Linked DNA regions of Neodiprion lecontei. The protein of the gene in region 1 binds, or shares a complex with, the protein of each later gene. Links are inferred from orthologs where the notes say so. Each region holds a gene or a part of one and is shown on either strand. Other genes may lie near its edges.

What was found.
Region 2: the proteins of GPI transamidase component PIG-T (region 1) and phosphatidylinositol glycan anchor biosynthesis class U protein are in contact, whole or in part, in a cryo-EM structure (PDB 8IMX), measured with the Homo sapiens proteins. The link is inferred for Neodiprion lecontei from reciprocal best matches to the Homo sapiens genes PIGT and PIGU. Residues at the interface, in NP_057021.2 of Homo sapiens: Tyr361, Gly362, Leu363, Gln364, Lys365, Arg394, Leu395, Tyr396, Val397, His398, Tyr416, Pro418, Ala419, Gln420, Asp421, Arg422, Gln445, Glu447, Leu450, Leu451, Lys452, Trp453, Thr454, Pro518, Thr519, Pro520, Asp521, Phe522, Ser523, Met524; in NP_536724.1 of Homo sapiens: Glu30, Lys42, Arg43, Val45, Glu46, Ser49, Leu50, Leu53, Val55, Ser59, Gly60, Ala61, Val62, Pro265, Asp266, Leu267, Pro269, Leu273, Trp275, Tyr276, Phe277, Phe278, Ala279, Glu280, Met281, Phe282, Glu283, Phe289, Phe293, Asn296.
Region 3: the proteins of GPI transamidase component PIG-T (region 1) and GPI transamidase component PIG-S are in contact, whole or in part, in a cryo-EM structure (PDB 8IMY), measured with the Homo sapiens proteins. The link is inferred for Neodiprion lecontei from reciprocal best matches to the Homo sapiens genes PIGT and PIGS. Residues at the interface, in NP_057021.2 of Homo sapiens: Pro26, Arg27, Val63, Ser64, His65, Tyr66, Arg67, Lys71, Gln75, Lys79, Tyr80, Val133, Gly136, Lys191, Leu193, Pro194, Cys195, Ser196, Lys198, Ala199, Glu270, Pro271, Pro273, Leu274, Tyr526, Ile529, Cys530, Cys533, Val536, Ala537; in NP_149975.1 of Homo sapiens: Thr9, Glu12, Val13, Gly16, Ala19, Ala20, Phe23, Thr230, Pro238, Lys239, Tyr244, Ile247, Glu248, Val251, Gln256, Val270, Asp271, Ser272, Gln273, Ile274, Tyr276, Tyr277, Met279, Ser309, Arg310, Ser313, Ser314, Ala315, Ala316, Phe513.

Annotation. Positions count from the first base shown.
Region 1 is NC_060264.1:23,622,621-23,633,318, reverse strand, and holds GPI transamidase component PIG-T, read right to left. Parts: upstream 5,754-10,698; 5' UTR 5,596-5,753; coding exon 5,289-5,595; intron 4,725-5,288; coding exon 4,550-4,724; intron 4,395-4,549; coding exon 4,163-4,394; intron 4,037-4,162; coding exon 3,869-4,036; intron 3,645-3,868; coding exon 3,347-3,644; intron 3,225-3,346; coding exon 3,072-3,224; intron 2,975-3,071; coding exon 2,728-2,974; intron 2,486-2,727; coding exon 2,236-2,485; 3' UTR 2,056-2,235; downstream 1-2,055. Other genes in the region: CD109 antigen, read left to right, coding at 1-168, 429-581, 661-836, 935-1,106, 1,234-1,336, 1,450-1,664. UniProt on the Homo sapiens protein: Component of the glycosylphosphatidylinositol-anchor (GPI-anchor) transamidase (GPI-T) complex that catalyzes the formation of the linkage between a proprotein and a GPI-anchor and participates in GPI anchored protein biosynthesis.
Region 2 is NC_060260.1:40,146,272-40,156,135, forward strand, and holds phosphatidylinositol glycan anchor biosynthesis class U protein, read right to left. Parts: upstream 5,346-9,864; 5' UTR 5,257-5,345; intron 5,179-5,256; 5' UTR 4,118-5,178; coding exon 3,985-4,117; intron 3,918-3,984; coding exon 3,715-3,917; intron 3,595-3,714; coding exon 2,847-3,594; intron 2,739-2,846; coding exon 2,485-2,738; 3' UTR 2,212-2,484; downstream 1-2,211. Other genes in the region: ejaculatory bulb-specific protein 3, read right to left, coding at 1-163; uncharacterized protein LOC124293564, read right to left, coding at 246-576, 1,070-1,092. UniProt on the Homo sapiens protein: Component of the glycosylphosphatidylinositol-anchor (GPI-anchor) transamidase (GPI-T) complex that catalyzes the formation of the linkage between a proprotein and a GPI-anchor and participates in GPI anchored protein biosynthesis.
Region 3 is NC_060262.1:30,732,182-30,741,706, reverse strand, and holds the start of GPI transamidase component PIG-S, read right to left. Parts: upstream 4,744-9,525; 5' UTR 4,374-4,743; intron 4,219-4,373; 5' UTR 4,166-4,218; coding exon 4,120-4,165; intron 2,954-4,119; exon of another isoform or gene 1,664-2,953; coding exon of another isoform or gene 1,409-1,663; intron 1,230-1,408; coding exon of another isoform or gene 851-1,229; intron 723-850; coding exon of another isoform or gene 393-722; intron 85-392; coding exon of another isoform or gene 1-84. Other genes in the region: protein I'm not dead yet-like, read left to right, coding at 1-84, 393-722, 851-1,229, 1,409-1,663. UniProt on the Homo sapiens protein: Component of the glycosylphosphatidylinositol-anchor (GPI-anchor) transamidase (GPI-T) complex that catalyzes the formation of the linkage between a proprotein and a GPI-anchor and participates in GPI anchored protein biosynthesis.

The DNA.
Region 1 (10,698 bases):
GAGGACAACAAGAATCCTTGGTATTCGTTACCAAGTTCCGTAGATGTTGAGATGACTTCATATGCATTGCTTACGTACCTCAGACGAAACATGGTCGCCGATTCACTACCCATAATGAAGTGGCTCGTGAGTCAGAGAAACGCAGATGGAGGATTCGCCTCAACACAGGTTCGCGATACGATTTTGCAAGTTGCAATATTTCTCTTTCATCTATCATCGACGTGAAAAATGCTAATTCCAGATACATAGGTCTATAGTTAAACAAAATGAACATGGAATAACTTAGTGTTCATGCAATAAAAAAATGTCTGGTGAGAACTGTGAAAGAGCTATCATCCACTTTCATGGAGAAAACAAGGATTTTTCAAGTCGATAGTACATAGAAAATTGCACATTTCGCTTATTGGATGGCTCACCCTTATTTGCAGGACACGGTAATCGGAATTTATGCGCTATCTAAGTTGAGTGAAAAAATATCATCCAAGAACAGCAACATTGCCATATCGTTTGTCTACGAAGACGGAGGTCAAAGCAATATCAATATCAACCCAGGCAATAATATGATTCTTCAGAAGCATATGGTATATTTTTTGGTCACACCCTTTTTTTACTTGGGAAATATGGGACTAGATTTTTGACCACATCCCATGTCTCGTTTAGTTGCCCAGGAAAACTAGAGAGGTGAACCTGACGGCTACCGGCACTGGATTTGCAATAATTCAAGTATCGTACAGCTACAATCTGAATGTGACCGGTGCATGGCCCCTATTCACCCTCGACCCTCAAGTGGATAAAAATTCAAATGCTAATCACTTGCAGCTTTCAATTTGCTCTGGGTACGACAAAATGTCTGACGTACAATGCCAAAAGTAGCATTAGCAAAACGATAGCCATTAGAGTAAAATTAATTACTTTCACTATCCCCTTCAACCAGATTCGTCCCTACAAAAGAAGCAAACGAAAGCAACATGGCTGTAATGGAAGTCAGTCTACCGTCGGGATTCACTGTCGACATTGACTCCCTCCCGAGCTTGGAAATATCGCAGCATGTTAAACGAGTCGAGACCAAAAATGGAGAAACTATGGTAGTCTTGTATTTTGACAAGGTAAGCGATTTGCAAGTCATTAATTAGGTGAGAAAAAGACGAACGTGCAGAATCTGTATAGTTCAGACCAATGTACTATTATATATATCCATTACAAGAGTATAACTTAGTAAAAAACAATTCGCAGATGATAAGAGAGGAGTATTGCCCGACAGTGTCCGCGTTCAGGACTCACAAGGTTGCCAAACAGAAGCCTGTTCCAGTCTCAATTTATGACTACTACGACTCAAGTAAGACAGCATTTTGCATATATTCTTACTATTATCAGCAATTTGTGGGAGAATATCGCATTCTGAGAGGGAACAACCTACAAAATGCTTAATATATCTGTTTTGAACTTCAGGTCGACGCGCGAGAGTGTTTTATGAACCGCAGAAGGCTACGCTGTGCGATATCTGCGATGGCGAAGATTGCGGTAATGTTTGTGTAGGGGTCTTGGACAATCAGAAAAACGAAAACGACGGTTCGAGGGGGAGTGCGTGCACCATGTACCACCTCTCGTCGCCTGCTCTACTGTTTGTCATTATGTTTGCAAAGTCATCCTTCTACTTCTTCTGATTATTTATCAAGTTGTCCGTACGTTATACAATTCCATTATAATTGTACCTAATACTTTTCAAGATTAAATTATAGCAATTACGATTAAAAATAACCAAAGTAAGTAATATACTATAATACCATGCAATTCGAGATATTCGAATAACTTTTTAAGCCGTCCATTTATCTTTTCGTTTTTGTCACGTACCCAATTGTATATTATATGTATACAATGAGATTAGTATCGGAATTGTTCACAATAAAATCTAACTATATGTTATATTTGTGTTCTCTACTGTGCCTCACAGATTCGTTCCAAATTTGCCGAGTTCTGAATTTTTTCCGTCTTGCGTTACAGAGGTATATTGGTGTTTCAAAAGGTTTGCATTTACAGAAATGAAATATGCCAACATTTTATGTAAGAAATACCAGATAATCGATTGTTTGATTTATTTACCTAATTGCTTCAAGTTTTTATTTTTACAACTCATGATATTATGTCGCCAAGGCCTTTGCGACAGATCCAATAGTGTGTACGGAGTATTCTTTTTTGGAGCGAATAGCAAATATGACTGAAGAGAACTTTGCATATCTACTCTATCTTATCTACCTTTGTTTTGGAGAGTTTCTCTCTGATGTAAGAAACTAGTTTATTTTTCTTAGATGGCTTGAGAACAAGCCTCTTTGTTGTTATGTTGTGGAGGGGTCCGAAAGCCAGTGCCACGGCCGTACAAGCCAGACAAATAACATTATAAGGCATACTAAAGTCAGGCGTTGGCAGACTGACAAGTAGAATCTCAGTCCGTAATTGGACCAGGTAACCGTCCCGAGATGCATTGAAACTGCAACCACACAATAATGATGGCTTTAGGTTGTATTATATTTGCTGCATTGACCAATCAGGAAACAGCTTCGGATGTTTCAGAATAACATCCCGTGCTGACCAGTTTAAAAAAAAAAATTACTCAATTTGCCAGGTTTAACATCTCAGTGGCCACCCTAAATGGTAATGCTCTTCTTACCTCCTGGTCCTCGAAGCTTAACGGAATATTGTTCAATAATTGATCGATCATTGTTTCCTTACCTGGATGAAATAGTACTTCCGTCCTGAGGTAGAGCGGTGTAATTTCTCGCAGTTGGGAGAAGAGAGGTTATTATTGCAGGGCCCATGTAGAACCCGTGATTAGCGTCCGGAGGGTATTCTTGCCACTTGAGAAAAAGATAGTCTAATTCTATTGAAAACTCTGTTACAGAACGCGGCGGAAGTCGCAGAACCATTTCGAGGTAGTAAGGACGTTCCCTTTCTCTACCAGGCACGTATCGCTTGATTACTGAAACCACGAGCAAAATTCACGAACCAAGGATTAGAAAAAATTATTTACAGAATGGAGATGGGAACAAACGATACTCGCAGAAATCTAGACATACGAGGCTTGAGTAATTTCCCCTGGCAGGTGATCCTTATGGTATGAGTGTAGACCGGTATGTACCATGGAATGTTCTCCAGGAGCACGACATCCAATGGCTTCCAGTAATTATTATGGAGTTTTGTCACCAGGCCGCCTCTTTCTTGACCATAGCCTGAGAACAGCGTTTTGTCACGAGTTATTCAGATCCTGCTATGTCAAGAACAATGACCGTCCATTTCATAATACTACAGTTTAATAAAGATCAAGTCCATTACAGTATAAACACAGACACACCTACTACATATCTGTTTGCAAAGAGCACCGGTGGAATTTCGACTCCATAAATTTTGGCTTTGCTGTGGACAGCAGCGACATTGAACATCCCGGCATTGGACAAAGATTTAATATCGTACACAGCTATTCTATTTTCTTGTCCTCCTCGTAAGCTGATTAGAGTCTCCGGTGGCTCAGGCACTAGCCGATAAGTTTCAGATGTCTCATTATCGGTTACATCTACATATACACGGCTCAGGGTGGCCAATGGACAAGCGCTTCGGAGTCCAATGCCGAAAAGCTTTCGCACCGACCAGTCCTGCAGGTCAGAAAGTATTGGCCATGTTCATATTATTTTGTGAACCAAAAATTATTTCAGGATTCCAATATCACGTTGGATCCAGCATTTTTAACTTGGTAATTCATAGATAAGGTTCAGTCTATTTCATTTTGTAGGATCAAGAATGATACAAAAGAATAAGATTCAACCAAAATGAGTTTTTCATAAAAATGTGCCTGCTATTCGATGCCATATGTACATACCTGCGAATCAGTTGTCATAGTGTCGTAGACCAATGAAATTGTTTGCCGCAGTTCAATGGTAGTTTGCGTGCATGCTGCATTGGTACATACAGGTCGTACATCAACAGCTATCGAGTGGTAATTAGTGTTATGGATATATGCTGAATTCAAGAGAGTAGCCAATCCTTTCTAAGGGATAAAACTATGTTGAATAGGTTTAAAATTTTTTGTTTATACGAGCAAAGACGAAAATGATAAAATATTGTGATTTCGACGTTAGTTAAATATTGTCAGAGTATTTTTTCTTGTTCATACCTTAGAGTCGCACGGTAGTAATTTTTTAAATGGTGTCAAGTTTTCTGTGCAAACTATTTCTCTTGGCAGCGAAGAATATCGAAGACAGCTAGAGTTTAGCGGTCTTGGAATAGCACCGCTGGGTCGAAAGGTAAAATCAGGTGACAAGCTGTTGGACACATCCACAAAATTGAGCGACGCGCACAGCAAACCCGCAAGAGCATTAGTCAAGCTTTTCCAATTCTCATCGATCCTAAGAGCAAGAATATCGAGTATATTATCATCAAATATGGTACTAATACAAATTTCCCAAGGAAAGGCAATCGATGAAAAGAAGATGAGAACTCTTTGAAATGTCAAGGTTGTTGAGTGATTGTCGTTAGGGTAGATAATAGTAAGTTATTGTACCTTCGGTCGTCGTTGAACCAGGCATAAACCTCGGCGCCAGAACCGGTATCTTGAAGAGGATATCCCCATTTCTCGTAACGCCATAATCCTTCAGTCAAACTGACGTGAAGTTCTCTGACATTGTGCCGGCCGATTATTTCCCCTAACCCACGAGGAAATAGCCGAGAATGTTGGACTGTATACAGAAAGATGTATGCAATTCGATAGATCAATTGCATTCAAGAATAGAGCGATCAAACAAAGAATGAGCAAATAATGAAACAATAGAGTGTCAAACTTAAAGCGAGGTTAAAGTACCAACAAAGTGAGAAAATCTAATTTCAGAACGCTATTCTCTCACGAGCAAGGAAAATACTTCAAATGTTGGGGAATGACAGTGTTTGCGATCGTATTTGTGTATTGGGACAAAAAAAATTCGAAAATTGATCTAGAAGTGCGCAAACCATGGGATTCGGATATCAGTACACCATAACCTCAAAGTGAGTGAAAATCTGGTTATGTTCAGTGTTTGCGTCAATTTTTCGAACTTACTCAAATCATCACCCAAGCACAATAGTGCACGCTATTATTTCCCAAAGATTTTTTTATTCAAGAGGGAAGAAAATTGTAAAATACGATTAACTCATCTGGTCAGCACTCCGACCTCACCTTAGTACCGCCGTTTTCCAGGTTATGACGTTTGGCCATGCATCTACACTGATATAGAAGAACGTATGTACGGATTATACGTAGTACATACAGGTTTCAGTCTCAATGTCAGTCCGCCACAGGGTAGTAAATTGAAAATGTGCGTAGACGTGTCCGCTTGGCAAGGGCTTCAGCATAAGCTCCTCGTTGAAGGCATCATCTACGTCGGAAGTACAGGAAACGAATCCGACATCTCCTATGGCACTCAATATCAACGCCTGTATAAAGTACATCGCAAACGCAGTTCGCATTTTCGCGCACGATTGTAACTGCAATTGGATTACTTTTAAGCAACCCTTCGCCCATTCGCAAATCGAGGTTAAAAACTTTTCGCACTTCGGATATACGGCTATGCGCATAACCTCCACCAGTTAATCGCACTTAAATCGCTCGAATCGTCTTTCCACCAGTCAGGACTCACTGCCGCTGACTAATGACTTGCATACATAATTGTGGAAGTTTATTTCAAAATAATTGTTTTACTGGGTACACTTACACACCCCGCGTACCTCCCTCTGCGTCATTTTCCTTATTAGTTATTAGTATTAGCATAGCCGTAAAATATAGAGCATAGACTGCGCACTCACTGGTACTGCTTGTGGCAGCGCCAAAAAGGAGAGAGAAGGAAACACACGCGGCCGATGTTTTGTCTCTTTCTAAGCATTTGATTGGTCGTTGATCAATTGCTCGGTCATGTCAAATAAACTCCATCCGATTAACAAAAATAATATCATCTAAATAAATGTACAATAAATATGCACCTGGTTTACGGTTAACAGCGTTAGAAACCTTTTCTTGATGCAAAGGATGGGAGCCAGAATCAAAGAAGTTAATCAAAGGATGGAGATATATATTTATTCCTATATGTACCGTATGTAATTTATGTACATACCTATGTTTACTACTTAACTCGTGTATCTTCAGTCAACGCTCATATCTTCGTTCCCAAAGAAAATACAGCTGACATATAAAAATAAGCTCTTAACTGACGTTAGATTTCCGTGTTTTTTTTAAATACAGTGTATTTGCAGAGGAAAACCCAGACCTTTCTACACAAAAATACTACTTGTAAATATTTTTTGTAAATTAGGTAGGACTCGATTGTTATTAATGTTTGAATCTATGCTGTAACAAACCCTAATGAACTTCAGGCAATCATTATCACAAAAGCAATTGAAAAAAATTTAAAGAAGATCAAGGTTCCTTTTTTCAACTTCTACTCATATTATTTGGTTAGATTGCGACTCTGCCCGCTAACCCCCAAACACAAGATTGTTCAAAAATTTATTATCAAGTGCCCTGATTATAATTACTCATATCTGTTCACTTTATTATAAATTTACGGCAGTGCCTGTGTTGATTGTTAGGAATTTCGAGTTTGAGAGAATATGTATTCCTGATTACTTATGCGTAAAACGTTTAGTTATTGATGCATCATTTTTTTCGCATTTTACGAATGTATCCTCTGAAAGTGCGGCCTTCACAGTTTCCTAGGCAAGTATCTGCGGGGTATAAGAAAATTATGTATAGCATACTCGTATTATGTATTATCTTACTCAGTACAACCTTTTGTACACACTATTTTATTCACAATTACATTGTAAGTAACAATAATTCAATAATCACCCGTTGAAAATCTTTCCCACTCAGAGTCATATTTTTTATTTTAACTGATTTGTGATTTGTGTTCTTGACGCATCATTTCCTTTCAGTCGGAAGTAATAAATTTATATGCATAATGTGACAACACATTTTTGTGGTTTTTCATTGAGTCTAAAACCAATTAATAATATTATAAAATGCATTTTCATTGAGTCTAAAACCAATTAATAATATTATAAAATGCAAGTTATCATATTAGTTGCCTTTCTGTTTATATATGTGAAAGTAATGAGGTTTTGAAAAATGTATTTAACAGTAGATTTGGTTAAGTAATCTAGAAATCAACCAAGTATACAAATTTGTCATAAAAATTTAAAAACATTTTTCTACAATATAGATTCAAAAGCGAAGATGGCAGTTAATTTCTAACTGTATTCCATTTGGAACAATAGGTTTTTCATACAGATTACCGGTATCTTGAACGTACAAAATTTCAACACGGTCCTTTTTGTCATTTTTAGTAGCCGGTTTTGAATGAGCTTCGTTTTTTTATTCTTGATCGTTTGTCGCGGAAGACGTGCTCATTTGGTATGGAAATATTGTGTTTTATTGTAACGACTTGTATCAACTGCAAAAGGTGAATTTGGGGAGAAAAATGCTGGAATTACCATACTCTAAATTGCCAAAGGTATGTGCACCTTGTTGACTTTAATTAAGAAACGAAATTTATCAAAAGAAAAAGGTATTTACGTGGAATTCACTGACTAAACTAGAGAAATCCGAAGGTATTACGATTCCACACGCGTTACACATTGTCGAAGCATGAGTTGTATTGACAATGAGTTAAATTTACGCAAGAATAAAATTTTCATTTGAAAAACTACAATATATTAATATTTGACCAGTGAAAATAAGTTCACTTATGCTCATTTCCACACCACCGCAAGCGGTAGAGCACCCGGCGCGTTTTTTTTTTACGTGGTATCCCCAGTAGGCCTACTCCACGGAGAATACTTGCAAGATCGATCTTACGTTCTTAGAAAAATTGAAGATAACGTTTTTTCACATGTTAATTATGGTACATTGTTTTCCCCAGTCAATTTGTACTCGCCTATATTTGCAGTTTGTTAGAAATTTTTCAGTTCATATAACCCGCTAACTAATTATTATCGATGAAAGATGACTGTTATAATTATGGATGAAAGATGATTGTTTTAGTTATAGATGAAGGGTGATTGTTTTTATCTTATAAGTGAACGGTGATTGACTTTGGATATTCGCGCACAAGTTTTTTTTCTTATGAGGTATGAGATAATCACTAAAGTGGAGAACATGGTGAATACGCAAAACAATCAAAAAGTAAACCAAGATCGAAAACACGAATCGCTGTAAGACATTGGCATTTACCTATCGGAAGACGATGCAAAAATCCTTGAAGAAATGGAAACAAATCGGAGTAGAATAAGCACAACCACCAAAATACGACAGAGCTGTATAATTCTACAGTGAAGTACCAAACCGAACATGACCTATGAGCGACTCGAGAAAAAAAACTCCGACACTAAACAATCGCAATTAAAGACTAAAACCATGAAAGAAACTACAGTTGAATAAATTTTACCAGACTTTGTGATCATGATGATTCTTAACCACATCACTAAATCTATGCGTCGGTGAAAACAAGATGAGTAATCCTGAATCAGACTCGAACCAGACCTAAGCCTAAAAAATAATTCGTTAATTTTTCAGTATAGTAAATGAAACTCAGTTACCTGCAACAGATGACAATATAATTCGTGACATATGTCGATACAGACAAAAATATACTTCGCTCAGATAAGTAAAATATATAATTAACGAAAAAGAGACAAATTAATTAGTTAAAAGAAACAGAAGGTTTGATTGACTGAAACAAACAAAAGGTTTGATTGGCTGAAACAGATAAAAAGTTTGATTAGCTGAAACAGACAAAAGGTTTGGTTAGCTAAAACAGACAAAAGGTTTGGTTAGCTAAAACAGACAAAAGGTTTGGTTAGCTAAAACAGACAAAAGGTTTGATTAACTGAAACAGACAAAACGTTTGATTAGCTAAAAGAGATAGACAGTTTGATTAGCTGAAACAGAAAAAGGTTTGGTTAGCTGAAACAGACAAAAGGTTTGATTAACTGAAACAGAAAAAGGTTTGAATAGCTGAAACAGACAAAAGGTTTTATTAACTGAAACAGACTAAAAGTTTGATTAGCTGAAACAGACAAAAGGTTTGATTATCTGAAAAAGACAGAAAGTTTGATTAGCTGAAAGAGAAAAAGGGTTGATTAGCTGAAACAGACAAAAGGTTTGATTAACTGAAACAGACAAAAAGTTTGATAAGCTGAAAAAGACAGAAAAGTTTGATTAGCTGAAACAGACAAAAGGTTTGGTTAACTAAAAAAGACAACCGGTTTGATTACCTGAAAAAGACAGAAAGTTTGATTAGCTGAGAGAGAAAAGGGGTTGATTAGCTGAAACAGACAAAAGGTTTGATTAACTGAAACAGACAAAAAGTTTGATTAGCTGAAAAAGACAGAAAAGTTTGATTAGCTGAAACAGATAAAAGGTTTGGTTAGCTGAAACAGACAGAAAGTTTCATTAGCTGAAACAGACGAAGGTATGGTAGGCACAATCACACAAGTCCACATACTGATAACAAATGGGTCGAGTCCAACATGATATTCGCCTTAATATTCGTTGCTTCAATTATTAATTATATGGATGAATAAAAAACATTATGAATTTTTTGAATGGAAATCGCTTTCTGCTTTGGGTTATTAAAGTGAATATGTTTTTCAACTGAACATTCTATGGGAGCTTTCCAGCAACGACACAAAGCGACACTGTGTCGTATATGGTGCTTTCCAACAACGACACAGGCCGTGTTCGTAAATTGACTGACAGTGCTGAAAATTCCCTAGGACAGAGTCAGAGCTATCCATGAACTTGGAAGCGCAAAAGAGATGAAAGATTGCCGACAGTACTGTCGGTCAATTTTCGAACACGGCCAACAGTCGGACACAGCTGCGGAGCATGGTTCGACACAGTGTCGGATTCATTGCTGCCAATTTTTTAGTTAGAGATTTTATTTTCGACGCATGATGTTGTTTATATTTATTTATTAAATGCAATGATAATCTACACGCGTTTCACAAATGTTTTTTTTTTCTTGGAGCGCTCGATGTTCTTAGATTTTTCGTATAATGCATGAGCGGACTCTAGTGACTGAATTAAGATCCTCAAAGCGTTCCAGCAAGCACCAAGGCACAGTGTTCGACCGTGTAACACAGTGTCACACTGTGTCTCCTTGCTGGAAAGCTCCCTTTAGTTCTAAGTGCATTTGTTAAAAAAATTGGTTATGTTGCCCTGAAACAGAAAATAATATCCGTTAAACGATCTAAATCGTGATCGCACCCGTTAAACGAGTGTTTCTGTACGCCAAGATTCTCTACTATCACTATACACTACCGAGATTTTTGTACCTGGGCTTTGAGCGCCGGGCTTCAACTGCCGCGCTTTCTCTCATAACTGAAAGGTATCAAGTCCACGCGCAAAGGGCGCCGTGGAACTTGAAAACTTTATTATTTGTAAAAAAATTGACAGAAGAGCTGAAAGATCAGCACATCGAGAGTGCGTAACTCTTTTATATACTGTTTGAAAAATCGATGAGTAAAAAAACGTGTCCAATTCCCGTTATTAATTTACGCGCAAAAGGCTGCGTCCAATTCTTATGATTAATCTACGCGCAATAAGGCGCGACAGATTAAACTGTCAAAAAATTTTTATTACCTGGGACTTGTCCCAAAAATTCTGTAGAAACCCAATCCACA
Region 2 (9,864 bases), on another chromosome or scaffold:
CTTCCGCAGTGCAGGGTCCTTCTTCCATCAAGCAGCGTATATAATTGGTGAGAATACGATCATTGCTTAGGATTCTGTCGACGTCTACGTTGTCGTATTTGCTTGAATAATTATTAGCGAAGACGAACGTAAATAAAGTTAAAAAAATCACGCCCCCCTTCATTTTGTCGCGTAATCGCCGACCATAAACAGTATAATTCAAACCGCGACTAGTTACGCTACTATTCGAATGAAGCGTGACTAGATCACAGACGTAAAACAGAAAACGTGGGATACGCGGTTGCGAAATCTACAATTTTGACGCGCTGCGTTGACTCTAACCAAAGTGGAGGCACCCAAGTGCGATATTTCTGCGGGGGCCCCCTTTTATATGATACGACGAGTACGACGACGTCTGGGTCGGGTGGAGGTGAGGAAGGCGGCATAGTAAGATACTGCAGCCAGTGTTCGTTCCACCGCTGCATCGCGGATTCAACTTTTTCACCACTTTTCTCCTTTTTGTTGTTTCGAAGACTGCAGATATCCATATCTTCCACGAACCGGGAGCATGGTACGCGCGATGCTCGATGTAACAGACTAAAAATCACGCAAAACCGCAAATTATTACGGAAATGCCGTAGCCACATAGCACAGACTCGTACCCTTTTTTTAAGGGCCGACGAATTTCTCTTTCGCGACTATTTTCACCTCCGTATACGTTTTGTGAGAGTTTACGAAGTTGTACCGTTTTTACGACGTGACATTTTAATAATTTGCTTATACATTATTTGTATTACTACTGTTATTGTTATTATTATTATTTTACCAAGAAACAAATTATTTTTTTCCAAAAGTGATTCACAGTAAGAATAATAATACAGTCAACATCATTTACTTATCGATGAAAATGACGTCCGTCACACTCGGTGACTGGATCACAATATTTAAAAATCATGATATAATTTTTACTACGAGGTACGATTGATTAACTTTTAGAGGACCGACATTTTTACCTTGGAATACGATATTTCTTAAAGGCATAAATTATGTATACAAATATTCAACACGACCTGTCGAGTTGCCGAATTACCTGCTGGCTCCTTTTGGGGACATTTCGGCCCTTTAAATGTTGAAGTATATTAGTTGCATAGCCACTTCAACATACTCTGATACTTCTGCAGAGTTGCGTAATTGAAAACTTGCTGCACCGTCTGAAACGCACTGTCGTTCTATATTGTATTTTCATATTGTGGTGTTCGTATATAAGACGTTTAAGCAAAAATAACATACCGAAATATCAGCAGATATGCGTACACGGAACTATTACATGGAGTTAAGAACGACTTTGTATTCATGTAGACATAGCAGCCAAAAGAATGCGAGTGCAGAAACGAAGCGCGGTATCTTCATAATTTTCAAACTGTAGAACAATGAAAATTCAATCATAGATTACAGTCGAAGCTTTTTTTGAAAATTTTGGAACTTTTATATCGAGCTCTTCTTCGTATCTCTATAACCGTGAACTCCGCAACATTTTCCCTGTCCAAGTAACTTCGCTAACTGAAAAAACAAAGTGCTCCCGTGAGGACAAATTGCCTTATCAGAGTTGCGGAAAAGGATGCTCGGGCAGTCGGAAGTTTCGAAATTATTTGTAATATGCGGATGAAATGTTCATAGCAAATTGCTGTAATATACAAGTGGGAAAATCCGTTTCGTATGCATATACTTCATGAAAAAAAAACTCAAGCGCATGACGAAATGGCATGCATAACTATACGTATACCCACGCGTACGGAGAAAGTGATTCGAAGAAGCTGCTTTATGTCTACGGAATATCAGGTAGCCGGGCAATATTTACGCAAGAACGTGCGTTGCGTGTATCAGGTTTTCCGTTACCGTCTTGATAATGTTTTTTCTTTTATTAATTAATCTAATTACTAAAGGCTGGGATTTAGGTATGAATACAGATAAAATTTTACTTGAACTTTAACTCACACATGCTTGTGTTCAGAATGTTCCTCATCTTCAATGGATCGCAGATTATACATTGATATTAAAATTTCACCCGCCAACGTTACGTGAGAGTAATTTTTAATCTTTGACTAAAGTGGGGATATACCACCTTGGAGTTCCAACTGTGAACCACTGCTTATTATGCGCGTTGTTGATACACAGAGGAGTGACGCAAAGTATGGATTTGGCGGGAAGGAAAGAAATAATAATTTGTTGCGCTAATGTTGGTGAATTATATTTTTAATCGTTCGTGAATCATGACACTGGATTTTGTTGTTACCCAAGCAGAGGGGATATTTTCGCCGCAATAAATTCATTGTGAATTCTCAACTAAAACTTGTGAACGTCGTAATTGACGTTACGCATTCAATTTTCAAATGAATGCTTATATGTTTAGTTCCATCTTCTTTAGAGTGCGTCCCGATTTTTCACCTCCAATCGGCATTACAATCTGGACACGGAATGTATGTGTAAGAATACATCCAATGGAGTTTATTCGAGTAAAAGTTTGCCAGTATTTCCGTGGATTTCTCTCGACAACCCGTGTCGCAAAGAAAATTCTCGTTTGACGCTGGCAAAGAGAACATCGGTAACTAAAAATATTTGGGCGATAGCAAAGGCTAGCGTGACACCGAAGTAAAAGTTCGCATTTGCTGATCGTGAATAAATCCACAGGTGCCAAACTGTTGGAGCAAACACTGTGCAGGACAAAAGGAAGCAGCTGACAATGAATCCTTGCTGCATATCTGGAGAAAATAAAATTGACGCATTAGTTTCGGAAAAATATACATAAATTGGGACAAATATGAAGGGATAAATAATTACGAGACAGTAATAGTAGATTATTGACTTACGCGGAAAGAGATGCTTCCACATTGGTAGTAGAGCCATATAAAATCCTACTTCTCCTAAACATGGGTACGATTTGAAAATAGCCGCGATTGCGAGATACGAGAAGGCCAGGAGCATAGGATCGCGGCGAAATCGTAGCGCGAGAGGAGCAACGTAGAGCAGGCCTACGTTTATTTGAAATGATGCAACAAATAGCCACCTAAAGTGTTCAAACATTTCTGTGAAGAAGTACCAGTACAGGCCGATGTTTGGCCGCAGATCAGGTACTGTTAAAATGAAACCAATTGTACTGTGCAAAAATGACCAGCTCCCTGATACTTTGTAGGAGAGGTAATATAACGCAATGAGAATACCAATGAACATCGCTATTGTCTTATTAATATTTCCGTAGGGGAAATTTTTATTTTTACCTTCTTCGTTTCGCGCCAAGTATATTGTGGCAGGTACCATAAGAGTAATGGGATAAAGTCCTTGCAATGTTAAAACAGCTATAGTGAAACAACTACATAATCTCGATTTGTTTATCATAGAATATAGAGCCGCGGATAGCAGAAAGTTCGTAAAAACGGTTGTGGTTAATCCTACACAATTAAAAACTACGTATGGGTTGAAAAGGTAAGCTGAAGGTACGAGTAAAGCGGAAGACGTAACACTGGATGCTGGTATTGACATTGATGAAGGTAAAGTTGATAATTCTTCGTCATTGGATTCCTTTTTGCGTTTCTGGATGTCTTTTTGTTCGGTGGCAATCTACAGGAAATTGGTTGAATGTTGGTTTATGGCTATGTTTTAGTAGATGTAGTACATTTGCAGTCTCGTCTTCTACTTCATTATAAAATAGATCCTATTATCATTATTGAATCAACTCACTAGTTCACTCGTGTAACGATAAGCAGTCGCACCCAAAATCCATGCCGTGGCCAAATCCGTGAAGACAAATATGCCACATAACATACACAATGACAAGTACTTTTGCATATAACTGAAGACGACAAGGCCTATGGGACTTTCATGAAACAGATCACCGGTGTAAGGATCGATACCAGCTTCTCGTAGGTAGACTCCCTCGGTAACTGGTAACAATATAAGAACGATCATACTTAGTGAGCAAAAGACAGCAAAAACATTGGAAACGCTCACCTTTTTTCCATGAGTTAAGTGCTGTGGATACTTCGACTCTGTCAGCGATGATCTTTTGATATTCGGAATATATTAATAGCAACCTTATCGTTGCCGCCAAAGCGAAAAATACAAATTTTTGAGTAGTACTCATTATAATTGGTGGCAACCACACCCTAACCTGTACGTCTTACAACACTTGACGTTTATCAGTTTCAATCTACTGTTAAAAAGTTTAATTCATTATTTAGCAACTCTATCAAACGGACATTTTTAGCCTTCATTTTTCATAACCTGAGCCGCTATTAATGCACATAAACATTAAGCCGCAATAGAGCCATAGAGAATATCGTCTTGTATAAATGGAGCTCGATGCAATTTGCTCAAACTATATACCACAGCTATAGGGTCGACTCACAGCGTCTAATAGTGCTGACGACAGCAACGACGATAGGCCGAAGTGTTGAGATTTGATCAGCTTTTAGTACAAGGTTTGCCCACTTTGGCCACAGATATACCTATTTACTATGGGTGCTAGCTAGGCCAGTTCTTTTTCGTAATGGTTTGCCGGGTCTGGAGGTAACGTACCAAATAAGACGAAAATCAAATTGTAAAACCCACAAGAATTAATAAACTAGACTAAAGTCAACTAACCTCGTTGCATTTTCCTCTACAAAATTGTGCAGATTTAAAAAAAATCTGAAAAAGAAAACGAATGCGAATAGTTTATAGTTAGGAATAATGGATTAAAAGATAGAGCGGGAAGATGATTTTAGATGGATTTCGTCGGTTTTTCTTCGTATTTGCTTACAATTAGCTGCTGGTCTTCGTACTTTCTAGATATCTTTATTGAATTCCTTAGGAACCAACGAGTGAGAAAAGGGTCCTGTAAGTCGAACCTGAGGTAAATTACTCTAAAAATCGCAAAAAAGGAAGGCTAACCCTTTTATTTTTTCGCGAGAAATGCACTCTCGCAAGTAATTCGAATGCGTTAAACTTCGTGACATATGTATAAATATACGCAATTCCAACTGATTCCAAATCCAGTTAACTATATCCAAATACATGTCGCTGTATTTTTCATTTCATAAATTTGAAGCACTTTTGATATAAAAAGTCTAGGTGTCCTGAGCACTTGTATGTATACGAATACCATGCATGTTTTTAATTTCTTCCTTCAGAATCTATAAGCAAACATGAAACACAAGGATTATACTGAATTTGCACACGTCAAATATTAATAACTATTATAATTGCTGAATATTGCAAAGTAGTAATCAAATGAGTTCATACTTCATTGATAACCCGATGCTGCTTAACTGTGTTGAGTCCTCTGAATTCTGGGGCAACCACATTTACTTCAAACATCGCGCCACACCCTCCTATGTGAATCAGGAAAATAATAGTTACATTGTTAATTTATATACATTAATAGTACATTGGTTAATTTTGCAAGGTAACATTCGACACTCTAATATTATTTTTGTGTGTGCAGCATAATATATTATCCTCTTTTAGCGAAACTATGTTATTAAACAGTAGAAAACATGTACAATAACAATGTAATAATAATTTCTGTGATTGTAAATCAGATTCATTGGTAGATACCCACCAGATACATCTGTAACTTCAATGAGGCTCGCTTTGGGAAACTTATCTCTGAGAATAGTGACCATCTTCTGTTCAGCTTGCTTGCCGGCTAGTGCTCCGTTCGGTCCACTCCAAACTCGTGACAGAAGCTGGAACACTTTCGCTTTATTCATTTTTCTCTAATTCAAATGACGTGCTTGTACTAGCAGTCTTAGCATGGAGGCGTCGGAACAGAGAGATTTCGATAAATGGTTGGAGAGGATATTGGAAAATTTTGAGGAGTTGATTACAAGTTTGCAGTAATTAAATAAGCAGTTTTCCATCAAGGTTCGTCGAAGGCATGGAAGTACAAGGCGTTTCTTAGCTTGTTTATACATTGAAGTTTTGAAGATTTTCGATGAGCCAATGCTGCAAATTAAATTTTTTACGTACCGATATGTTACGAAAGTTTTTTGGTATCACACGTCCGAACATAGCTGGGTCCTATTTTCAGAATTTTGCAAATTTCACCTGGCGTGTGCTATCACCAATCAATTCCGATGTTCAATCGTCCGTTTCAGCGCAACATTCGTGCTTGACTATCAATTATATTGATTACTATTCACAGGGCGAATCGCAAATTTCTGTTTGAGGTTACAATCCGGCAAGTTCTTCATTCAATGTCTTCTATCCTTCTTGCTCTCTAGTCTCTACTCTCTAGCCACTGAAACATGCCCTAACTAGACGAGCACAAACTCATCTCGAGTGCGCCACTTTGCGGTGACCTTGAGTCATCCCCACCTTCAATCTACAGTCACCTACAACTATAAATCTTTGTCTCAAATCCATCGAATAAGAAACAATCCTAATATAATCATCGTTATCTCTCTCGGCACGCTCTGCTCTATAGGAAAGCAAAATCGTCACAAGTTTCACCGCAAATTCACAGGAATTAGCTGTACTTTTTTGAGCATAATATTTTCAGATTCAGAATTGATTTGCTTGACACAATTCTAGACTATGTAGAACCCCAGAAACGCAGAAAATATAGCAAGAAGAGCATTGGACCAACAGCACGGAAATTACGAAGACAATCTTTCATTTTTTTGTTGTAACTTTTCATCCGTAGCTTGCAGCGTGTACGGACTGTGAGCAATGGATTCCTACAGCAAAATTACGCCGATATAGTGCATCAAAGTGATCCAATATCTTTGAAAATCATCTAAACTTTCAGCAAAAATTCAAAGGGCTTTTTAATGGGGTTAAAGGGGTTAGGCTTACATTTTTTACGAGTTTTTTGGCAAAAGACTTTTCATCTCTGAATCTATATATACTTGGGTGGTGGTAAAAACTTGGAAGAGTCAATATTTCGAATGGTGGATATACTGAGATTTCAAACATGCAAAAATCAAGATTTTGAACAATTCATCATTCGTTATTTTATTTTCACGTGGTTGAAATTTCTATATATTGGCCATTCGAAGTATTGACTTTTCCAAGTTTTGACTCCCACCCATTTATACGATTCTTTCTAGACTAATCGGACTTCTAGGATTCCAAAATGGCGTTCTAACCGTCGTGGGACCAACAGTTGTCAAAATGAGAACAGAATATGAGAAAATTCAATTATTTATTTATTTCAATTCCGTTACATGAAATAGTAAAAATATAATTTACTAGCTACGATAATGACAATCTGATACAATATTTTTCATATTCTGCTTGAGATAAGGTATTGCACTTTTTTATCCTGTTATAATAATCAAAATTATTATACAATGTTCGATCATACTTTTACATTTTTTATTGTCTTATATTTTTATACTATTACGTAACTTGTTAAGTAACTATATTCATTGATTCATAAATATTTGTACTAGAAGTAAGGCATATTGAATAAACAGCTGACACTTAATAGCTATAAATTTGTTTTCTCTGATTTTTTTTCTCCACCTTTTCTAACACCCTGCGCAAATTTCATGTCTGGCCATCCTCTTCATCCATTGCTGAAAGGGAAAAAGCCTTGCTTTTTGTTGCTTCCTTTGAAACTCAGGAATTTTGCCACCTGGAATCAATTTGTACGACTCATTAGGACTAATTGGACCCTTAGAAATGCAAAGAGGATATCTAAAACAGAATTAGACCAGCTCAAGAAATACTAGAAAATCTCCACGGTTTTCGGCCACTCATCATCCATTGTTCGGAGGAGCGTTCGGACGGCGCCCAATCGATTCCTCTCGCAAAATTACGTCGGAATAGTGCATGAAAGAATTTATTCCAGCTCTTTTCAAAATCACGAATATTTTGAGCCAAAAATGCAGAGGGGTTAGCCTTACTTTTTTTTTGGCCAAGAAATCTTTTGTCCCAGAATCGATTTGTAAGACCCTCTCTCGACTAATTGGACCCCTAGGATCGCAGAAAACACACCAAAAAGAGCGTCGGACCAACGGCAGGAAAGATACGCAGGAAAGATCAGCAGCAAAAAAATGACGATGCAGAGTCTTTGATTTTTTGGCTGCATCTATTGATGCGTTGCTCGTATCCTATTCGGACTGCGCCCAATCGATTTCTTTCGCAAAATTACGTCGGAATAGTGCCATAAATAATTTATTCCAGCACTTTTCAAAATCGCGAAAATTTTCGCCGAAAAAGCAAAGGGGTTAGCCTTACTTTTTTTTTGGGCAACAAATCTTTTGTCCCAGAACCGATTTGTATGACCCTTATCCGACTAATTGGTCCCTCAGGATCGCAGAAAACGCAGCGCAAAGACCGTAGAACCAACGGCAGAAAAGATACGCAGGAAAGATCAGCAGCAAAAAAATGACGATGCAGAGTCTTTGATTTTTTGGCTGCATCTATTGATGCGTTGCTCGTATCCTATTCGGACTGCGCCCAATCGATTTCTCACACCAAATATCGTCGGAATAGTGCCACAAAGATCTCATTTCAGCACTTTTCAAAATCCCGAAAATTTTCGCCGAAAAAGCAAAGGGGTTAGCCTTACTTTTTTTTTGGGCAAAAAATCTTTTGTCCCAGAATCGATTTGTATGACCCTCTCTCGACTAATTGGACCCCTAGGATCGCAAAAAACACACCAAAAAGAGCGTCGGACCAACGGCAGAAAAGATACGCAGGAAAGATCAGCAGCAAAAAAATGACGATGCAGAGTCTTTGATTTTTTGGCTGCATCTATTGATGCGTTGCTCGTATCGTATTCGGACTGCGCCCAATCGATTTCTCACACCAAATATCGTCGGAATAGTGCCACAAAGATCTCATTTCAGCACTTTTCAAAATCCCGAAAATTTTCGCCGAAAAAGCAAAGGGGTTAGCCTTACTTTTTTTTTGGGCAAAAAATCTTTTGTCCCAGAATCGATTTGTATGACCCTCTCTCGACTAATTGGACCCCTAGGATCGCAAAAAACACACCAAAAAGAGCGTCGGACCAACGGCAGAAAAGATACGCAGGAAAGATCAGCAGCAAAAAAATGACGATGCAGAGTCTTTGATTTTTTGGCTGCATCTATTGATGCGTTGCTCGTATCGTATTCGGACTGCGCCCAATCGATTTCTCACACAAAATATCGTCGGAATAGTGCTAAAAAGATCTTATTTCAGTACTTTTCAAAATCCCGAAAATTTTCGCCGAAACAGCAAAGGGGTTAGCCTTACTTTTTTTTTGGGCAAAAAATCTTTTGTCCCAGAATCGATTTGTATGACCCTCTCTCGACTAATTGGACCCCTAGGATCGCAAAAAACACACCAAAAAGAGCGTCGGACCAACGGCAGAAAAGATACGCAGGAAAGATCAGCAGCAAAAAAATGACGATGCAGAGTCTTTGATTTTTTGGCTGCATCTATTGATGCGTTGCTCGTATCGTATTCGGACTGCGCCCAATCGATTTCTCACACAAAATATCGTCGGAATAGTGCTACAAAGATCTTATTTCAGTACTTTTCAAAATCCCGAAAATTTTCGCCGAAACAGCAAAGGGGTTAGCCTTACTTTTTTTTTGGGCAAAAAATCTTTTGTCCCAGAATCGATTTGTATGACCCTTATCCGACTAATTGGTCCCTCAGGATCGCAGAAAACGCAGCGCAAAGAGCGTAGAACCAACGGCAGAGAAATTACGACGGAAAGAGCACCAGCTGAAAAATGTCAAAATCGCAGATTCTGGTTTTTTGGCTGTAAGATTTGATCCGCTGCTCGCATCGTATTCGGACTGCACTCAATCGATTTCTCTTGCAGAATTACGTCGGAATAGTGCCACAAAGAATTTATTCCAACACTTGCCAAAATCGCGAAAATTTTCGCCACAATAGCAAAGGGGT
Region 3 (9,525 bases), on another chromosome or scaffold:
CGCGGCTTATGCATCTAGCATCGGTGGTATCGGTACCATGGTGGCCACTGGTTCCAATTTAACGCTTAAAGGAATTTATGAATCGTAAGTGAAACTTATTCCATTGATGTTATATTGCCAAATGCGAATTCTCATCAGGTTGAAGTCAGTAGCGTTATTTTAACAGTTGTTATTGAGGAAAATTGTTTGTTGCAAATTTATAACTGTCTGAAATTCAGTGAACCGTAGTAAAGCAAGCGAGGCATGGTCATATTTTATAAATTTGCATTTTTCAAAGTCGTTCTAAAGTTGCAAAATAGAGCATTTTCTTCCAGATGTTTCGTTGCTATCACGTAACTAACTTCAACCTTGTGAATATTCAAGGTTTCATTGGAAAACTATTTTGTTTGTAGCCGTTTTCCAGACAGCCCCGGAATCAATTTTTCTGATTGGATGTGTTACGCGATTCCGCCTATGCTTGTTTCCGGATTCTTAGTCTGGTTGTGGCTGCAAGTAATGTACATGGGAATGTTTAGACCAAACAGCAAAGACTCTCAGGCAATAAATATTGGTCCAGAGGGTGAAAAAGTTGCGAAAAGAATTATCGAACAAAAATACAGAGACCTAGGGCCGATCACGTGGCACGAATTATCTGTTGCCGTTTTATTCGTTTTCGTAATTCTTTTGTGGTTCTTCAGGAATCCCGGATTTGTTACAGGGTGGCCCGATTATATCACGGAGATGTAAGTGCCGTAGGAAATTTCTAAAAATCAGAAACTCACATTTCCTTGTATTTTGATACAGCTACGTATACTTGATATTCTATTATAAGTATTACGTGAGTAATGTTTCCTTTAATTTCATACTACAGGTCTGTTAAAGATTCTACCGCAGCAATGTTAGTCATAATCCTCATGTTTATACTTCCATCAAAATTGGAGTTTCTCAATGCATTCAGTAAGGATTCAAGCAAATATCCGACAAAGTCAAGTCAGGGTTTAATAACTTGGAAACTAATTCAAACAAAAATGCATTGGGGTTTGCTGTTCGTTCTTGGCGGTGGTTTTGCAATATCCCAGGGAAGTACCTCCTCGGGACTCTCGGATTTACTAGGGAACGCATTATCTGGCTTGGAGTCTCTACCCCCAGTAGCTACTTTATTTGTGATTTGTCTCATAATTCAAACGGTTACAGAGTTTACCGCCAACGTTGCTATTGCCAACATTGTGTTACCTGTAGTTGCCGAATTGGTAAGTGAAGAATCGTGACGAAACTTTCTATTTTTCAGTCTTAAAACACTACCGATTTATCAGGACTCTGGAAAGTTATTGCCGATGAATGAGATTATGACGTAACTCACTAACATTTAATTCTATCTCAGGTTAAACTTTAAGCTTGATAAACAATCGTTTCTTTTTCATGTTTACAGTGTGTAGCGATAAAGCTGCATCCGTTATATCTGATGCTACCAGCTACTTTTTGTTGCTCGTTTTCGTTCCACTTACCAGTTGGAACACCGCCAAATGCTATTGTAAGTGCTGCCGGGCATATAAAAACCAAAGATTTCATAGTAGCTGGTATTGGACCAACTCTAATCACGCTGATTGTGGTAACTGTTTCATTTCCGACCTGGGGAAATGTAATTTTCAACGCCAACGAATTCCCATCTTGGGCAGAATCGTAACTGTCGTCGAGGACAAACACGGTAGACATTACTTTTTTTTGCATAAAAGCTTGAGTAGACTGACGACTGTTGTGACTATTTAAGTTTTCTGACAAACGTTAATACCTGATTATTCTGTCGCGCACGCTCAGTGAGCCAAGTCGGGACGCGTTGCGTTATGTTTTCATCAAAAAGTTTGCATAAGCAAATTGTATGGTTCAACGATCTAGTTCGACAGCCTCGTAATTTGTTTATCCTGTTTGTATATCCAAATTAGAATTTTAAAGCAAGTTAATGTAGTTAGTAAGACCATAGCGCCAACTTCAATATCTAATATCCGATTACAGTCATGAATGACATATACAATTCCGGTTGTATGAAGGTACGCAGTGCATGTTCACAATATATTACTTTTACTTCACTCCATTAAGCGTGGAACCCCAGGATAATACATTTATGTATTCAATACCTGATCGGACTTGTCCTGACCGGTCTCTGGATTAGATTTGAAATACATCTGTTCAAAAAGGGAGGAGTAAATTGGGATGTCAAAGCACCTAAAAAGCTTAAAGCAAACATTAAATGTAATATTGCAGAAGCTTTTTTGGTAGACGTAATGTATCTAATTAGAAATAAGTATTTCTACATCCACTTAAAATAAATCCAACTACTGGGGTAGGAAACACGTAGCGTTTATCACCTTTTATACGTGTCGAACTCTAGATTAGTGCAGGTACATATACGCAAGATGTTTGTCTGCACCAGAAAGACTAAATTCTTCGTTCCATGAAACTCTACTATAGTTTCGAATCGCCCATCACAGTTTATAGGGTATTTATATGATATACTTTTCGATTGTGAAAGAACCGAGAAAGGTTTCCTAATATAAATCACGTACAATGTAGTTCTTAACGGTAACGTAACCGAACGTTGAAAAAAATTTAAGTTAGACGTTCGACTTCGTGTGTAATAGCTTCATTTTGACACTCGTATGACAAAAAGATAACAGTTTTAGTATTCGTCACAACAGGTAGAAAATAAATTTAAGAAATTTTTGAATGAAAATAATAAGTATTGAAACTTACCAGACCATGATTTAAAAAGATTGTAAGAACGAAATGATTAGAATAAATTATCAAAGCAAAGGACAAAGGCCAATCATCATTTATTGCGTATAAACTGAACAAAAAGGGATTGATATTAAGAAGAAAATTTAATTCGTAAATATTTTAAAGACCAACGCCTTTTCTTTCATACTTGAAATTGTTTTTTTTTTTATAACATGCTAATAATTTGTTGACTCAGTTCAATGCGTTCAGAAAAGTTGTAGAATAGGATTTTCCACTATTCCAATCAATGGCAGATGCAGACTGAAAGAATGAAATGAAATCCAGGTGAATGATTTGCGTTACAAGCTGGTATACAGACTAGTTTGCAGGTATTACTCAAGTTTCAGGTTCAAGAAATCATGAAATTGAATAAATGTTAACCGTCTAGCAACAGCTACTTCTGTCTAATGGAAATAGTAAAGTGCACCTGTGTACTCGGTGCTTATGTATGTGGTTGTCTAAAAAATGCAAGTATTTGATTTCACAATTCACAATTCTGCCTGCCCAGCTATTAATATTGTCAGATGAAGGCTACAAGTAATTTTACATTAATCTCATTTAATGATGCAGTAATAATATACTATTCAGTACAGAGACTAAAAAAAAGAATATTTTGTACTAGATTTTTTTCACTTGTTACAGTTTCCTTCCTAATGCAAGATAACCCACTCTACCGTGAATGAAAAAAAGTGAACACTATATTATGAAGAATATCATTATTGGTGTGAACATGTGACCGAAGTGGAGTTGCATTGGAGTCATAAATTACTGGTAAGAATTATTTCTGCTTCCGTAAACTGTTGCATGAGTTTGAAAAAATTCTTCTGTTCCATAGTTTTTATAGTACTGTGTTTAGTTCAATCTGATCAAATGTGCCTGCTCTATATATAATTACAACAGTGCTAATATGTTGGAGTGACCTGGAGAACTATTACAATTTTCTTTAATTGGCGCCATCTCAGCAGTCACTAGGTAATTAGAATTTTAGGCATTGCGGTTATATAGTGTCAATGCTTAGGGCATAGAGAAATGGAGAATTCCTGGTATACACTTTCGTGTAAGTGGAAAATGGCATAGAAAGGAAAGTAGTAAGACTAGTTCCTTTCTTTGTCTAATGCACACGTAGAAAGAAAGAGCATCTAGTCTTATTACGTTCCGTTCTCTCTCCGACTCGAATACTTTTTCGACATCGACGCTTTCTGCATGTTTGTAATCTGCTCTAGGTGCCAGTAGCAGAGCAATAGAATAAGCCCGTCGAGCGATTATATCGGAGTTGAATTATGCTGAGGGTACGTTCCATATCCGTACAATTAATTATAGAGCGAGTAATTCTCACAAGCAGGGTGAAAATGAGACGCATGATCTTACCATCTGAAGGCGTATCGTATCCTACGGATCCCGAATTATCACTCATTGTTATCAAAGCTTCAATGAATAGATTTCGACTTGGAGCGGTGTACAGATAACCTATAAATGTATGTAATCAGATTTTAACTAATTGATTGATAGAGCTGGGCATTTTTTGACTTGTTAATTATCGTTAAAATAGAAATGCAGATATTCAGGAGCTCTAATTTATGCCCAGAAATACTTAAATGAGTGTTTTCCTTAGATTCACGTACAATTGACTAGTCCATCATGCGAATACACAACCTAACACAACACTCAACAACACCGTAAACCTAGTTACCCACTGATGAAGCAGAGGTAAGCAGACTGCACTTGGTGACTTTTTATTCTAAGAGTTGGCACACATTCACTGGTGCTAACACTGATATACCTATAAAGGTCTGCCTATAACACATCCGTGGTGCAAAATGAAAACACCTCGAAATATTGCTAATTGCCATTTTAGGATGTCACATTACGAAGTTTTATAATATAAATTTTATGATACGTTCAGATCATTAAATCTCAAGACAGCGCCTATCACGTCTGCTTTATCGATAAGTTGTCGCCCGTGAAACCTTGTAGCTCAAATAAACGTACCGACTGAGTGATATAATCTGAACGCGGCATTAAGCCTTGGTGCGTTGACTGCAGAATATACAACGCTTGATGTAATAAGGTTCGATTCGTCGCAGCTCAATTGCACTTTTACGTTATAATGCGTCATGTGATGTTGTCAACGCACTATTTAATTCACTCGGTGTAATTGCATTCATATTGCGAAAAACGAACGCAAGCATAAACGGTATATAATAATATTTTCGGTGAACGTATTATTTGCTAAGAATGTCAGATCGAAACGAATATTTTTTTTTTAATAGTATGGAACAAAGTCAATCACATCGGAGTTATGGTTCAATTAACTGTAAAGATGTCTTTTAACATATTATAATAGAAATCCGCAGTTATATTCAAATCTAATGGATATCAATGTCCACACGTACCATTCTAGGAAAACGGATATTCTGTTTGCGATTCGCGAGAAAATATACTTTAGACCTAGACAGAGTATCTAACTTCGCTGTGTAGTCTTCATACCAATTATTTAATTATGCGATCTCACCGAGAAGTGAATATTTTAATGTTTAACGACTACGATACAGACGTTGCCACCAATAATGACGCAATCAATGATCGTTAAGTGGTGATAAAACAGGAAAACCGAAAATAACGCGTATTGCTGTTTGATGTAAACGCAATAGCTACAATATCTTATTCAAAACATACTCACCATTGCTGATTACAGATCATTGATAGTTCAATTGAGAAATCTACATTCTGATAAATAGTTCACAAGCTGCATTGACAAAGTAATTGCACTGATCTGCGTTTTATAAAAGTACGCCGCTTTGATACGTGAAATGAATTTTTATTGAAGTTAGTAAGTTCAATAACAGAAATTGAATGTGGTTAACTACATTTAGGCAAGTTGTTTTTGATGCATATCGTAATCAAATTCCGGATGTGGTAAAAATATTGCGTTTTATCCGACAACGTAAATGAAGTCGTAACATGCTGCACGGTGCGTACTAAGTGGATAATGTATGGGCACTCATTTGTGCGATGATTTGTCCTTGGGAATAAATAGTCGGCCTTGTAACTTTTTCTGAGATATGCAAAGTATCGTTTTACAAATCTTAAGTTTAATATGGCATCAGCATAAAATCAATTGACAATCCACATTCGCAGTACACTTTAGACACATAAATGATAGAAGCTACATGAAATTCGATTCTTCAATTCGTCGAAGATAATTACTCGCAATGTTAAGTGCATCAATCGGAATAGGTGTTTTTTTGAGCATGCGACACGTAAGATAATTATGATACAGCGGTTGAAGCGAAGTAATGCCGCTTGTTCACGTATACCATTAACATAGTTCGAAGAATATATGCACATGATAAATAAAATACGATGCAAAGATTGATAATGCGAAGGAAAAATTGTGCATGAATCTCTCGCATGTCAGACGAATCGTTTATCAAGAAGACGGACGTCCAATCTATCATCTCCAGTATTCTACTAATTGCAATTTGTACAAAGAATTACTTCGATTAACTACAATATATACTAATAGGCTATTAGCGATATATTACATAAGTAGATATTATACGGATGCCTCTTCGCAGATTGGACGGGCACAAAATGCTCTGCATCTTCGGTTGTACTACGCAGCGAATTAAATTTTCCACGAAAATATTTGATTATGCTTGATTGGTTATAGGGCTAAACTGATGCCCTCACTTTAGGCTTGGGACAAAATGTTCATGCATTCTCTGAATAACGGCATGTTCTGATATATAAAACAACACGTTCAGCTTGTAAGACAAAATATAAACGGCTAAAGAGTATTGATTCAGTAATGATACCTTGAAGAAAAAACTGCAGCCAACCGCAAACCAACCGGTTTTCAGCTGGAACTTAGTATACATAGCCATCGCCAAAAAAGTGGAATCATTGGTTAGAAACCTCGCTGTTCTTGAACTTTATAAAACTCGATACCTAATGGTCAGTTTCATGAAGTGAAAATTAGCCTGTCGAAACATTGAAAACTCCTCAGCATAACTGTCCTCTATCTGTAAGAGTTTAGTCAGCGTTCGCATAAGTGTAATAGCCTGTCCTGACTTGGCTTACAAATATCCCTTATATCTTCAAAACTATTGATCTGTTTGTAACGAAATATGGCCTATAAAACCCGAGCAGACGCCGTAGCTGTACAAAGAAAAAAAAAAGAATTAATATCGGTTCAGCAGTTCTGGAGTTATAAGATAACATCCGAAGAGACAGTCAGAAAGACATTGAATTTTATACTTATATATACCTTTGTAGAGATGAGAAGAGATTAATTTTTGTGAGGACCATTTTCAGAAAACTATTATGTTAAGATATTCAAGTAACAATCCACACATCCTGCCATTTCGACCAGAAGTTACAATTAGCCACTGCATCGTTCGAGCAGGGCTCAGACATTTTATCACGCATTTTATCGCAAATCAGAATTTTCGCAATCAGAATATTAACTTATATAGATTACACAATATCTTACATTGCGGTAAAATGAAAAAAATATCTCATCCTCCAATCGTACGTTGACAACGAGCTTGTTCAATCCATCCCCATTTAACGACAAGGACGTAGTCGTTGCAATGACGACGTGCCAGTTCATATGAAACCGAACATTTGATTGCTCGAAGAAATCAAAGATTGATTCAATCCAAGTTAAGACGCAGGCTGCGATCGCTATTGCGGTTCCCTCAACTTTTCCCGGTACAGTTAACCGACTTGTGAATATTTTGGAAGCGTTTGATTTTGAGGTGTTTGTGTTTAAATTAAAGTTGGTCGTTCAAGTGGTGGGGATTGTTTCCGAATAGATAATAGTAACTCTGAAGAAGTAGGCGATCAGTGGTTTCATAGTGACACTATTGATAGTACGTGGGGTGATCATCGAGTGACGGTTTCCCGAATCACTGATGTCGCTTGATGTTATACTGTTACATAAAAGCAGAGGTTTGATGATAAGCAGGCTCTGGATACGTAAGATCAAGTTACACAATAAGTAGCAAACAAAATGAGAATTTACAGAAAGTGTAATCTCATACGTATATTGTAGGCAACATTGAGAACAATCCCATCATACAGCGTCTTTAGAATAAAACAAAATTCTTGAAATAGCTGTTTGTACGGTAATCTGACTTGCTGCTTGGGTATGTTTTGGGAAAGATTTAGGAAAAATGATTTGTGTTTATCTGTATGAACAATATGTCATATAAATTTCGTGGGTATTACTTGCTGCAAATAGCCATGAATCAACAATTCGTGAATATGTAGCGTGCAAGTCTTTTCTTATTTTCGTACACCATATCCCGTATCAATCTTTTGCTTCTTTATACTGATTTAAACCTCGTGAATCCAGTAATCTGCGTGCCGATGCGGTCAAAGTCAGTGGGGAGGTGTATCAAGGTTGAATTCCGTAAGCGACAACAAATGGTCGAAAGTAAAAAAACGAATAAATCGCCAGATCTGAAACATGAGTCCTTTCTCGTATCGCCCCACCTTCTGACGTCGCTACGATATCAGTTTATAAATAATCGAGTCAACTGAATTTCTTCGTTCGGTGATTGGATATTTGAATGTAACGCAATCATGTCGAACTTGAGGCCAAGGTGAAGTGTGTCAACGCATAGCACGTCGATTAATTTTTAATACAGTGAATTAGGTCAAATTTTTTTGCATTCACAAGAACTTGTTCGCGACTGCAGCATCGTCGTATTAGTTTTGTCCTTTTTCGGTATTCATTCCGAATTCTCTTCTTGCTGTAAGAAGGAAGTAGGTATATAGCTTGCTGTTTGGCCCTTTTTTGTCCACTAACAATAAGGGATCAGAATTTACAAATCTGAAGTCAACTTACGTATAGAGGAATTGATTGACATCCGCTGTGAATGGCTGGGTCGATTGGTCAATTCTTCAACTGCGAGTAGAGCATGGAGAAACTGGACAATAGCTGATAAAATCATATCTTATCGGCTATAATCAGTATGCCGATGTTATATGAATATATGATGCATGTCATATATATTGTATATTGATTTTGACATTCAAATGAACACCTTTGATATGCAGTATATGATGCATATCAAAGGTGTTGATCTGAATGTGTCGATCTGTGGAAATAATCCCCAAAGATAACCCTGACCAAGTGTGGAAACAGAAATTGTTAAAAATCTATTCTTCTGCTAACAGTGTTTCATTGAGAATGACCTTGAATTTCATAGTTGAGAATGTATATGTCTGCTTAGAGAAACGCTACGATAAAAAAATCAAACATTTTGTTAATGCAAAATTGATTGGGTGAAGGATACACAAAACACGATCGCGTCGCTCGTCTAACTTGACATGAAAGATTCGTTGAATATGGTAAGATAGCACGGAGCTCTGTTGATATTTATTCTGTGGAGTTGGAGGTTAAAGTTCAACTGCAACCACATTCATACGTTACTTGTATCTCAGCCGAAGAGCAGATAAGCACCCATAATAACAAGCACTTTTCCGTGTCGGCGGTAAGCCGTGTAAAAGTTTCCGATACTTTGTCTTTGCAAAGACAGATTAGAAAACATATTCCCAACTATGCTGTTGTTTAAAAACATCGTCTATATAGTCTGATTTCAATTATGTCGGTTTGTTTTCCGAACCGAAGGTGAGCGGAATTGGCTTATAAAAAAACAGCAACACTCAAGCCGACAGTAAATCACGATATTGCCTTATTATTCCGTGTACAAATTTGCATTCCCATCGCGGTTTCATTCGTATATTAACAACGCAACGCCT